2 linked regions of the Schizosaccharomyces pombe genome follow. The protein of the gene in region 2 interacts with the protein of the main gene of each other region in a pairwise test. Each region holds a gene or a part of one and is shown on either strand. Other genes may lie near its edges.

Region 1 (5,355 bases), 2.4 Mb from region 2:
TCATCATGAGTGATTCCTTTCATTATCAATATGATCGTGCTTCGCCTGAACGACTAAAGCCTACGATTTATTCGTGGACGCGTCTTAGACAATCTACACGTGCCCAAAATGAAAATGAACAAGCTAAAAGGCGACAGGGGATTTTGGAACATAAAAGGGGAGGTTCCATGGAAATGAATAAATTTATAGACGAAAGCGCTTATATGGAATGGGAAAAACAACTTGAAAATGCCTCTGAAGATTATGCAATTGAACCATCGGATCTGGAAGAAGAAGTTGATCAATTGTAACGATTTCTGAAAAAGGAAAACATAACACTATGATTTTATTCGTTTGCTGCTGCTGTCAAAGCCTTGCGTTGGTTCGCCTTGACCTAATGTCAGCTAAAAACTTCTAAACAACTTTATATAAACCAACTTAACATATTTTAGCAGTTACAATCAAAAGAATTAATTACCTAAGTTCGTGGGTTACTAAATTGAAAATGAAAATAAGGAAATTTTTACAAAGAATCAATTATATATAATCCAAAACCCTAAGTTCAATAATATAACAGCGATGATACATATCCTTTAGTCAAGCCACTTACTGGGTTGGACATCCTGCAGTTTCCATAGAATTATCAATCAATGGAGCTGGAAGCGGCTTTTCCTGTATTTCTTCTACCAGTTTCGAAATGATATCTGCATCTTTACGAGCATCATATTCGGGACTCTCAAAAATTTGAATACATTTCTGAATTTTCTGGTACTGTTCTTCAAAACCTTGCTTCTCTGTCTCCTTCGCATTCTTTAAAAACTTAGGATAGTTTGCTTCAAGATCTTTAAGGGGTTCATACAAAATCTCTTTACTGGTAACTTGTGACATTAGGGAGTTTAAGGCAGCCTCTAAAGCACCATAGTTAACGGCTCCATTATCCGAATCTTTTTCCGTTGCAAACTGATCCTCTAATATAACATTGAGTAACTGATCATTCTGAAAGCTAGACGAAAGTTGACTCCCATCCAAGCCAGACGGTCCCCCTAAGTCTTCAAATTTGCTCATCATTTCTTGAATAAGTGAATTCAAATTATCGTCATTCTTTATCCTCTCATTCTCTTTTGATGTATTACCGGTTTGTTTATGCTCATCTATGTTTTTCTTCTCTTCGTTCTTAAATGCACTGGGTACATCTAAATCATCTAGGATATCTTTGTTTTGTTAGTTGTTTCCTTTTAATGTAAAGTCCTTTCTACCCTCTCATTATTTTTTATATTTATGCAATGCAAAATTCACTTGAACGAAATATCGTAATACACAAATCGTAGTCAGGACATTACCGATGTTCCATACCATCCAAATCATCAAGGTCGTCAAAATTCGGCTTTGTGTTGCTTTTTGTATTTTCTTTACGGTTTTCGTCTCCCTCAATAGTTGGATTTGACATTCCGTTTATATATCAGATGTCAGCATACGTTTGTCGTTTTTCAAAAGCCTCTTGCAAGTTCAATTATCATGTAATTCACAAAATAAATAAAAAAGTAGTAAGTTCAAAAAAAATGAAAATTTGGAACTGCCAAAAAAAAATAATAAAGTGCTTCTCTATTATTTTTCATGTAGGTAAAACCGTAGTGATCGTTGTTTATCAAAGTATATCAGCGTGAAAACGTTCAAGTGCATTAAGATGCGTTATTTGGTTTCAAATTTGACGCAATTTTAAATCTTCAAACAACAAATTTAATGGAATTTTTTTTATTTACTGGATGTATGAATCGTTTTAATTATTCATTGTTTGTGTATCTGGTATGAATCGAGTACGAAATTAACGATCATAAAATCGTCGACACAAGAACGTAAAGTCTACCCCCTGCTTTTATTACTTGCCTATGATCAGTTGAAATGAAGCTTTGTTTTCATTTTTAGCATCACCAATAAGTTAGAATTGACTACTGTTTACCAACAACAATTAGTTAAATAGTTATTGACTATAACATTGATCCATACGCACAATTACTTCGAAAAAAATTATTATTTTGCTCTTCCAACTTAACGATTTTCTGTACTGCGTTAACATATTATTGTAGGCTTGACACTCAGCTGCGGTGACATTATATTAAATAAAATGTAATTTTTTCAGTAAACAAATTAAGGAATTAAGTAATAGTTTGGTAACGTCTCATGAGAAGAAAACTCTTGAGCCACTAAATTGTTCTTACCATTTTCCATTATCTTTTTTAAGAAATCGAGGTTCTAATTGAGCTGGTATTGCGGGCAATAGAGCTTCTTGTAATATAGAAATTATAATCGACGGTTTTATTTCATTTGGGCTGAGAAAAAAATTAAATTGCTAGCTTTCATAAGTCGATACACTGAGCAATAGCCATCCTTCCGGCTTTTAAAAAAGGAAGCTCATTAACAAAGTATCCTCTATCTTTGTTTTATTGTTACTACTTTTGAAATTTTTTCCTCTTTCTTTTGGAATATCCATTTCTTTGTAATTTTCATTTTCTTTGTTATAATTAATCAGACGATTTCACGTTTGAAGTTGGTATCTTTATTTGTTGTTACTGTTCATTTCCTTAATTCATGGAGACCTTATCTTATTCTCAGATTAAGAAACGCAAAGCTGATTTTGACGAAGACATTTCTAAGCGTGCTCGTCAACTACCTGTGGGTGAGCAACTGCCATTGTCGAGACTGCTACAATATTCAGACAAACAACAGCTTTTTACAATTTTATTACAATGTGTAGAAAAGCATCCTGATCTCGCACGTGATATACGGGGCATATTACCGGCGCCGTCCATGGATACTTGTGTTGAAACGTTGCGTAAACTTTTAATTAACTTGAATGACTCATTTCCCTATGGTGGTGACAAGAGGGGTGATTACGCATTTAATAGAATTCGTGAAAAGTACATGGCTGTCTTACATGCGCTTAATGATATGGTTCCTTGTTATTTACCTCCATACTCTACTTGTTTTGAGAAAAATATTACTTTTCTTGATGCCGCTACAAACGTTGTCCACGAACTGCCAGAATTCCATAATCCCAACCATAATGTTTATAAAAGTCAAGCGTACTATGAATTAACGGGCGCGTGGCTTGTTGTTTTAAGACAACTTGAGGATCGGCCTGTAGTCCCTTTACTACCTTTGGAAGAGTTGGAAGAGCACAATAAAACATCACAAAACAGAATGGAAGAGGCATTAAATTACCTTAAGCAATTACAAAAAAATGAGCCACTTGTACATGAAAGAAGTCATACTTTTCAACAAACAAATCCACAAAACAATTTTCATCGTCATACTAATAGTATGAACATTGGGAATGACAATGGAATGGGTTGGCACAGTATGCATCAATATATTTAAAAACTAGAACAGAAGGCCTATAAGGAAACATATAATGGCTAATAGGAAAGCGGTTTGCACAGTAACTGTGTTATGAATTTGAGGAACAACCTTGGCACCACTAGTCGGACGCCCAAAAGACGATGAAACGCGTGCAAGTCCTATTTGATTTCCACTGTTTCCAGCGAACATAGATGGACTCGTAGCTGTTGATTGTCTTGTGTTATTAATTACATTAGCGGTAGATCTTAATGCATTATTTTCATTGTTAGGAGAAGTGGTAGTAGGCACTGACTGAGGCTTTGGGTAAGGTTCATTTTCAGCGACTGTTGCAGTAGGAGCTTTTACGGCAGTAGATGGGGCTTCATGGGGCTTCTGGTGAGAAACTGCAGATGTTTTAGGAAGCTGGGTATGCTGTGTAGTAGCTGTAGATGGAGCAGCTACGGGATTTGCATGGGTCGAAGGAAGTGCCGTTCCGTCTATTCCTTTAGAGTAAGATTGATTAACATTACCATTTACTGTGGTATAATTGTCAGTGGCAGAAGTAGGAATAGATGTAGTCGTTGTTTGAGCTGGTTGATGGTGAGCATTAGCATGAGCATTTGCAGTACTGGGGCCTTCACTATAAACACATCGAATTTTTCGTTCCGATATATTAGCCTTGCTGACTTGAGTCCACTATTAAAGTATTGGTTAGAACATCAATTATGTATGGCATGTATTAAAAAAGTAAATGTAAGTATATCTTTTATCACATACAATATCTGCTATATCCATTCCCTGTAATTCTGGCTTCAATTCAGTGCTCTGGACCAAAAATTTATCGCGGCATTTTGTGCCAGGAGCCGGTTCGTGATCTAGAGGCTGTAGGATAACTATTAAAAAAAAAGAAGTTAGTAAATGAAAATTTACAGCAATAACTAATGAGCACAAATTATCTTCCAGTGCACGCACAAAAACAATAAAAACTGTTAGTTTGCAAAAGAAAATCACGTTGATGACAACGTTTTTGTTCCACCCGACAACATCAATGATGGGAACCGCTTAAACGAATAAAATCAAAAAATGCAAATGAGGTTCAAAATTAAATATAAATTATCTTACCTTCAACACTTACAGCCGAATTGGCTTCAATTCGACCACCGTTGGGTCTCACACAGTACTGTTTAGGAGCAGTAGTTTTCACTTTGAATCCGATCGGATAAGGTGCAGTATTGCGAAGTTCTAAATCACATTTTACTAGTCGTGTAAGTGGTCGAGGAAACACAATTGTACTATCACATTCAAGAGCCATGATTTACGGGAAAGGCGAGTTTGTTGCGAGAGGTGGTACTACTTTACTCTGCGAAGTACCATTTCGCAGTGTAGCCAAAAATCGTGGCTTTACGTCACACATACTTGTGTGTGATTTTCCGAGGCTGAGCAAAGATTATGGTAATATATGGATACTGAAATAAAAGGAGATAATTATTCAAGTAACTGTTTTCATCGATATTATACAAAGCCTTATAACGATATTATTAAAATAAATGTGATATTTTGAAAGTAAAAAGTAATATATGCTAAAAAATATTTTGCAGTAGGTGAATAATGTACGAATGCAGTATGGTTATAAAATCCCAATAAGTATATGGATTTATTGTTTGTGAAATTAATAAATGATATAAATACCCAAAAAGGATGATTCAAGTTATCCTTTTTAATTTCTAAATGTCATGTTAATGCGTTTGAATTGTCTTAATTACAACTTAAGAATGCAAGGATGAAGTAAACATTATGATTTCAAAAAAAAATTGCGCATTCGTTTACACTTTCTATTCAAAGGAAATACGTTTTTTGGTTTAGACAATCATTAAATAGATATTGTATACTTTCGTTAATGGTCATTATGCTAGGGAAAAATCAACATTTTTATTTCAAGGAATATCAGCGATGCTTTAGAAAGCATACCATGTATAAAGGAAACGAATTACTCGAGTGGATGCCAACTACAGGATCACGAAAGTCAGTAATCATTTTCAA
Region 2 (8,119 bases):
CGTGGCCCTTGGTCTCCTCCTATGATCCCTAATCCTGAATTCATTGGTGAATGGTATCCTCGTAAAATTCCTAACCCTGACTATTTTGATGATGATCATCCTTCTCATTTCGGTCCACTCTACGGTGTTGGTTTCGAACTTTGGACTATGCAGCCCAACATCCGCTTTAGCAATATCTATGTCGGCCATTCAATTGAGGACGCTGAACGTCTTGGAAATGAAACTTTCCTACCTAAATTGAAAGCTGAAAGAGAATTACTTTCTAAGCAAGAGTCCATGGAAAAGCAATCAATGCATGTTGACGAAGAGTCTAATCAAATTCTTGAGAAGTTTCTTGACGTATATGATATTATTAAAGCTAAACTTCCTCCAAATGTTGCCGAAAAAGTTGACTACTATGTTGAAACCATCATCGAGACTCCTGAAATTGGGATTGCAATTGTTGCCGTTCTTGGCTCTTTAACCGCTGTTATTCTTACTTGTTACTTTTATTTCTTTGCTTCCTCTTCCCCGGCTTCTTTATCTACTGGAACTACGGAAGCTGAGAAAGAGCAGCAAGAGAAGTTTAAGCAAGAGACTGAGACTGAGAAGATAGACGTTTCTTACGCTCCCGAAACTGAATCACCAACTGCGAAGAATGAAGACTAATGAAACTGCTAAAATGTCAAAAGTTTTTCTTATTTTAAGAATCGCATAGAAGTTGCAATAAACTACTTCCTGTTCCTTTGTGGACTTTTGACTGAAGTAAATGAATATATCAATATATATACTCACTAATACAGCATATTTTGTTTACAAAGTTTGACTCAAAGTAGCGACTCTGTTAAAAGCCTTAGTCTAATTATAAAATACTTGAAAATGTTTTCTCTAGTTCTTATTATGAGTAATATCAATAAATAGACTATGAATTTATAAATCGTGGGTAGTACTATCAAAAAACTTTTTACAACTGCGCATTAGTCGTCAGAGAGAAATGATCAGGCATTTCCCATAAACAAGTGCAAGTAATGCGTGAAATTCTGCAATCAAGAGAAAGGATGTTTGTCTACATATCTTGTGAGAATAGTAGAATAAATTGTCAAACTAAAAAGTTCGTTTACTATACGGGATTCAGACATTTTATTGTCCTCAAACAAAATATCGTAACGTTACCTTGAAATGATTGAACAATAATTTGAAGGAAACCACCCAGTCTCGCCAGATCTCTTTCTTCCTTGCCACCATTCGCAAGGATTACCTTGGGTGTCTGTTTTAGATAGAATTGCTATGATATCTCCTTTTTTTAAAGACATTTCCACTCCCGGATCTCTGGACATAAACTCATAATCAGCCTTGCAAAACTCAAGACTATCAATTTTTTTTCTGATTTTTGCTTGTTGAATCTGTTTTTCTTTTTCATAAATATTTTTGAATAACCTAATTATTGCATAAGGTAAGCCCACCAACCCAAGAATAATTGCCAAGCTACTGACAATTGAATATATTGAATTTTTATGGTTTCCTTCCTCCTTCTCAAATACATCATATTCTTGTGAATTCATTTCATCGATTTTAGAATGCTTGAAGAACTTTAAAACTAGGCGTTTAAGCCGCGACAACAATGAAACAATACCAAATATTGCACCAATAGACGATTTTAGTTTGTTCAGATTTTCACTCACAGAAACAAATGTATTATAACTCATGTGAGCAGCCATTAAAGTAGACTCAAGGACCTGAGCTATACTTCCAACGGCACCTACAATAGATTCAATGACCTGCAGTGATGATATAGGTCCGTTCCCTGGTAAATTGGTTTCCAAAGGGACAAATGGATTAAAGGAAGGAATGAAGGAGTTAAAACCCGAGTATGGATTGAATCCCATATTGTAGTAGTTAGGATTAACAATCCGATTTGCCAAGGGATGCTGAGTAACGCCTTGATTCGTATCAGCATTTGAGTTGCTTACAGACATAATTCCTCCAGCAGGATAAGAAGGTAGACTTGGTCCTTTTTCATTTTGATTTGTTTCCATAGTTAAATCTCAATAAGCTAGATGCGTCCTTGGCAAATATTCTAATAAATCAAAAAGTTGTAGGATGAGTCCTTCGTAAATACGCTGCACGAGCTATTAAATAGGAACTAGGTCGCTTTATGTCAAAGTTGTCGGTGTGGTAGAATACATAGTCCGAAATAGTATTAATGGTAGTCCAATCTGAATACTAACGCCTTAGAATACAGGAAACTGGTATCAATACTACAATTGAAAATTTCCTAATATTTAATAGCATAATCAAAATAGATACTTATTTTTTTCACAATTACTGATTAATTTATTTGGTATGGATATATTACGGATATTATATTATTATACACGATTAGTCATTCCAAATTAAGAGATTTGTAGAGTATTCATCACATACTAAATATTTTCTTTTTTTTTTTAAATAAATAACTTTTTATGCATGGTCGATTCATGACTCAATGGTCTGGCTATGGATGAATTCCACCACAACTTTGGACTTAAGGAGCTTTGAAATAACGTCTCTAAGATATAAAAGGACTTTCTTAAGTAAGAAACTTTCACGCTTTAAAAGCTCTACCGATTCTGAACGTCGTTCGGTTGGATTGTACATATTCTCAATGTTTGTATTTAGGGCAGCATCCGCTAATTGTTCAGCGAGACAAAAAACACGTAAAATATACAAATCTCTTTTAGGAGATAATTGTACAAGCTTTGGCAAATCTTCAACTGAGCATTTTTGACCTTCAAATTCCCAGTCAACTGTTTGAGCTTTTGATTCATCACACACCATTTTGAAGTTTGTAAAGTCTTCAACATTAAGTACAGAAAAAAAAAGAAATGGAGCATGCCACCATAATTCCCCAGATGAATCAGAAACAAATTCAATCATGGGGGGAGTTTTACAAGATCTCCTTTTAGCAAGATCAAGCGAGTCATTAGAATCCTCGGGAATCAAGAGTTTCATAACATTTGTAATCCGATCGCCCTCAGGTTCAGGTAAAAAACCATAAGAAAATAAAAACTCAGCAGAACCTTTTTCACTTCCATAGTTTATCGTAACTTCTTCATTTTCATCAATGTCCTTGTCAAGATAGAGCTGCATAGCATCTTCCGAAAATGACCATTTTGCATTAGACTTAGAGGAGTGATTACATAAATCAATCACAGGAGCTAAAACTGGATCTTTAAAGGGACTTTCAAGGCACCTACTGTGAAACAAAGCATCAGCATGAACCCATTTTGGGAGTGTTATTTTACTAGGCCAGGAATCAGAATACCGCTGGTTTAATGAAAGCCACTCTTGTTGTAAAATTTTTCTCTTGACACAAACTGGATTAAAAATCGAAGTGCCTTGGAGGCTGTAGACTTCTTTTTCGGGCCATTGTGCAGGCGTATTGATAGATAAAGGAAGAACCGTTAAAAACTTATCCCACTTGTTGGTTCGGGGTTGAATACCGAGCCATAAATAGCAAAGAAATAACATAGCCTGAGTTCTGAAACTCATATCGTTCCATTCCTCAAGCGTTGCGATTGAAGCGAATTTATCACAAGAATTTCGAAATTGTTCAACTGTTTTGCGGCATATTATATTTTCAAGTGGAACCTCTAAAAGAACAGTTCCAGAAGTATACCTATTCAAAGAAAAAATTCCATTGCCTTTCTTTCGTATTTTTTTTATAGTAATTTGTTTTGCTCCCGGCGCAAATTGGTTGACCAACTCATTGTATTTGATATCCATTGACTTGATTTTCTCAGTCTTAAGCCAAAACAACGACGGAAAACTTAACAATAAAATGTATTTAATCGAGTTGAAATTTATTGGTTGTTTATTAATAACTCCACGACTTTTCTAAGTCAATAGCAACGAAAATACCCTGTCCCTAGAGAAACAACCGAAGCGACATTAACTTTCGGTAACTCGAACCCAACCCTATATGAACAAAAATACGACGCTTGCATCACAAACGGCAGCCGATTTTTGTACTATAAGTAATTTATGATTTTATTATATCTAGTGGTCATTAGCCTAATACGATTGTCGGTTTAGTTGAAAAATAATATAAAATATTGGAACCTCAAAATAAATAAGTAGTATGTGACAGCTTAAATTATGTATTATTAATATACTAGTAACCTGAGCAGAACAGAGGAAAAATATATTGGCAAAATTATGTGAATCTACATGAAATCTGTTAACTATTGAAATCAATTTATTTCTCCAATTTTTCGTTTTATGGTTAAAATTAATATAAGGACGCAGACTAATATTTTAACAGAGTAGTAGTAAAAAATCCCTATAGAGCTTTTTTGGTTGGTTTATATAGAAACAAGCTTTCTAAAAAGTTATCAAATCATTGTATCTTCTTGCTGATTAAGTACAATACCCTACGGTAGTACCTGGTACCTAATAGGTCTACACTGTCAAATTCATCAGATCCGATGGGCCCACTATAGCAGAGTTTCACGAACTAATTGGATTAATATCTCTATTTACTAATTCATCAAATGCAGGTGGTCCGTTCAGTAAATCTTTTTTGACAGAATATTGAGGATATATTATTTACTTTTAACATCTGTACTAAATAGCGAACTAAAGTAATTATATTATAATAAGCTATAGCGATACTGAGACTGTACTATTTGTCAATAGTCGGCGTTTAAGGAACTGTAAGGCAAATTATAAATTTGCGAGCGGTTAAAATTTAGTATATGAAAGGGATTCTCACAATATCAATAGTTGTCCTCCACCAAGCTACATTGCAAGGCCTAATCGGGTTAATTGTGGGATTTGGAACGGCATTGCAGAGAAATGACATCCTCTGTGTTAATTCAGGGTTACGAAGAGGACGATGTCCTCAAATTATTGCAGGAATTGTTGGATGCTGAAACTTCTCAAAGCTGTGCTGATGTAGGTAAAAAAATTGCCCAGCTTTTTTCAAATGACAACCCTTTAGTCACTTTGAAGACTACGGGGTTTTTGGATGGCTTGGAACGTGCAGCTCGCAATAAGAAGTCGGGATTCCATCGTGAAGCTGCCATGATTGGTTTTGCTACTGTTATTAAAAATTTGGGTACGCCTTCCGAAGTTGTATTCCTTCCTTATCTTCCTACTATTTTGGATTCGTTCTCGGATCGTGGTGAAGTAGTTAGACAAGCCGCCAAAATGGCCGCCCAAGCCCTCTTGGATTGTCTTCCTGCAGGAGCCGTAGAAACGCGCTTAATTCCAAGCTTGATTTCTTACTTAGACGATTCATCTATCAAATGGCCTAGTAAAGTGGCTGCTTTGCAATTACTGGGCTCTCTTGCATCATCATCCCCCAAGGCTGTTGCTGATTACATGGCCGCTCTCATTCCTTGTATTAAAGAACGAATGCATGATACGAAACCGGAAATTTCTCGTGCCGCTATTACATGCATGTTGAACTTATGTTCCGTCGTTGAAAACAACGACATTATTCCTCATATACCAAAGCTCGTCGATTGTATGGCTCATCCGGAAACACTGGAAGCTTGTATTAAAGATTTAAGCGCTACAACATTTGTAGCTACAGTTGAATCAGTTGCTTTAGCTGTGCTCGTTCCTATCTTAAAGCGAGCATTAGCTCAGAGATCACAGTCTATGCTGCGGTTGACTGTCATTATTACTGACAACTTATGTAAACTGGTTCCTGATCCTGCCGAGGCATCTGATTTTCTTCCTGAGTTAATTCCGGACGTTGAGCGTATTGCTCAAACTGCTGCTATGCCTGAAGTTCGTGCCCTTGCTTCTCATGCACTTACTACTCTAAACAAGGCTGCAGCTGCTCAGGCTGCAAAGGCTGCAAACAATTCTGAGAAACAGGCGTTAGATAGCGCTTGTAAAGAATTACGTGAGGCCGTCCTTAAAAACACTAGTGTACCACATGAGTTGGCCAACAGTATCATAGATTATGTCTGCGATGCCTTAGCAGCATTGTATAAGTCAAATAATTTTGACAAAGACAAATGGACTTCGCAATTAGGTGTGCTTTATTTATCTCCACTTGTCGGGGAAGAATTGGCTTCACAAATATCATCAAAGATATATGATGACCTTCACGCCTTCTATAAGTCATTAAATTCTGTTGATGGGATTTCAAACCTTACTATTGAGGAAGAGGAACTAGTTAACACTGATTTTTCTTTGGCATACGGTGGCAGATTGCTTCTGAGTCATACCAATCTTCACCTTTATAGAGGTCATCGATACGGTGTTGTTGGTCACAATGGTTGTGGTAAATCAACCTTGTTACGCGCTATTGGTGATTACAAGGTTGAAAACTTTCCCTCACCTGATGAGGTTAAAACTTGCTTTGTTGCACATAGTCTTCAAGGCGAGGATACTAGTATGGCTATCCTTGACTTTGTTGCTCAAGATAAGGCGTTACTGACTATGAATGTTACCCGTCAAGAAGCTGCTGATGCTTTGCATTCTGTTGGTTTTACTGCGGAGATGCAGGAAAATCCTGTTGCTTCTTTATCTGGTGGTTGGAAAATGAAACTGGAGTTGGCTCGTGCCATGTTGCAGAAAGCTGATATTTTGCTTTTGGATGAACCAACAAATCATCTTGATGTTGCCAATATTGCATGGCTGGAAGCATATTTAACCTCTCAAAAGAATATTACTTGCTTGATAGTTTCTCACGACTCTTCATTTTTGGACCACGTGTGTACTGACATCATTCATTATGAAGGTGTTAAAAACCAGGCAAAAAAGCTTGGTTATTATCAAGGTAATCTTTCAGCTTTTGTCAAGGTCAAACCGGAAGCTAAATCATACTATACATTGACAGCCACAAACGAGAAGTTTGTTTTTCCACCTCCCGGTATCTTAACTGGTGTGCGCTCAAACACACGTCTCATATTAAAAATGACAAACGCTTCTTATACATATCCCAACGCGAAGAAGAAGTCATTAGATAATGTTACCGTTGGGTTATCTTTATCTTCTCGTGTTGCCATTTTAGGTCCTAACGGTGCTGGTAAATCAACGCTTATTAAAGTTCTTATCGGTGAAGTAATCCCTCAAGAAGGAAAAGTTTTCAAGCATCCCAACTTGCGTGTGGGTTACGTTGCTCAGCATGCCTTTCATCACTTGGATCAACATCTGGAAAAAACGCCAAGTCAATATATTCAATGGCGTTATGCTGGAGGACAGGACCGCGAAGTTTCAGAGAAGGAATCTCGAAAACTTACCGAAGAAGACCGTGCTCAGCTTCAGCGTGATATTACGGTCAATGGCGAACGTAGAAGAGTGGAAGCTTTGATTGGCCGTCAAAAACTAAAAAAGTCATTTCAATATGAAATTAAATGGTTTGGGAAGCCTCATAAATACAATACGTGGGTGTCTCGAGAAATATTGCTTGAAAATGGGTTTCAAAAGTTTGTACAGGCTTTTGATGATATGGAATCTTCTCGCGAAGGTCTCGGTTTCCGTGAATTGATTCCCGAAGACATCAGGGCACATTTTGAGGATGTGGGCCTTCCTGGCGACATTGCTGATTACAGCCCCATTAGTAGTTTGTCTGGCGGTCAAAAGGTTAAAGTTGTTATTGCTGCGTGTCTCTGGAATAACCCCCAGCTTTTGGTTTTGGACGAACCTACAAACTTTTTGGACAGAGATGCATTAGGTGGTTTAGCTGTTGCTATTCGTGATTGGGAAGGTGGGGTCGTTATGATTTCACATAATGAAGAATTTGTTTCTGCGTTGTGTCCTGAACACTGGCATGTAGAAGCGGGTAAGGTTACCGGTAAGGGCAAGACCGCTGTTGACGATGGAAAGTTTGAAGATCTGTCGGAGAAAGATTTGAAAAAGATTGAGGCTAAAGCTACCAAAAAGAAGAAATTGACGAGAAATGAAATCAAGGCCAAAGAAAGACGTGCTAGAGAGAGAGAATTAGCATGGTTACAATCTCCCAAGGGCACCGAAAAACCCAAATCATTCTTCTCTGATGATGAAGAATAATTTCAGACTAATTTTTTAATTCGCTCTTTGGATTGACAAGTTGAGAGTTGTTTATCCTTTAATTTTCTTTAGACGGTGCTAGTTGTTGAAGTTGGTCTTTTACATATTTACGGTTTACTGATATACCTTT

Evidence for each region. The genes of interacting proteins can lie anywhere in the genome.
Region 1: the proteins of pex13 (region 2) and pex19 interact in a two-hybrid assay, tested with the Schizosaccharomyces pombe proteins (one large-scale study listed by BioGRID).

The regions. Positions count from the first base shown.
Region 1 is NC_003424.3:4,475,285-4,480,639, forward strand, and holds pex19 (protein Pex19), read right to left. Parts: upstream 1,598-5,355; 5' UTR 1,427-1,597; coding exon 1,333-1,426; exon of another isoform or gene 1,191-1,332; coding exon 586-1,190; 3' UTR 501-585; downstream 1-500. Other genes in the region: protein dhm2, read left to right, coding at 6-290; nuclear proteasome tethering factor Cut8, read left to right, coding at 2,566-3,354; scs22 (VAMP/synaptobrevin-associated protein family protein), read right to left, coding at 3,358-4,011, 4,093-4,208, 4,438-4,627.
Region 2 is NC_003424.3:2,079,144-2,087,262, reverse strand, and holds pex13 (peroxin 13), read right to left. Parts: upstream 2,154-8,119; 5' UTR 2,016-2,153; coding exon 1,149-2,015; 3' UTR 830-1,148; downstream 1-829. Other genes in the region: calnexin Cnx1, read left to right, coding at 1-648; lysine methyltransferase Set8, read right to left, coding at 2,455-3,744; AAA family ATPase Elf1, read left to right, coding at 4,816-7,989. UniProt on the Schizosaccharomyces pombe protein: Component of the PEX13-PEX14 docking complex, a translocon channel that specifically mediates the import of peroxisomal cargo proteins bound to PEX5 receptor.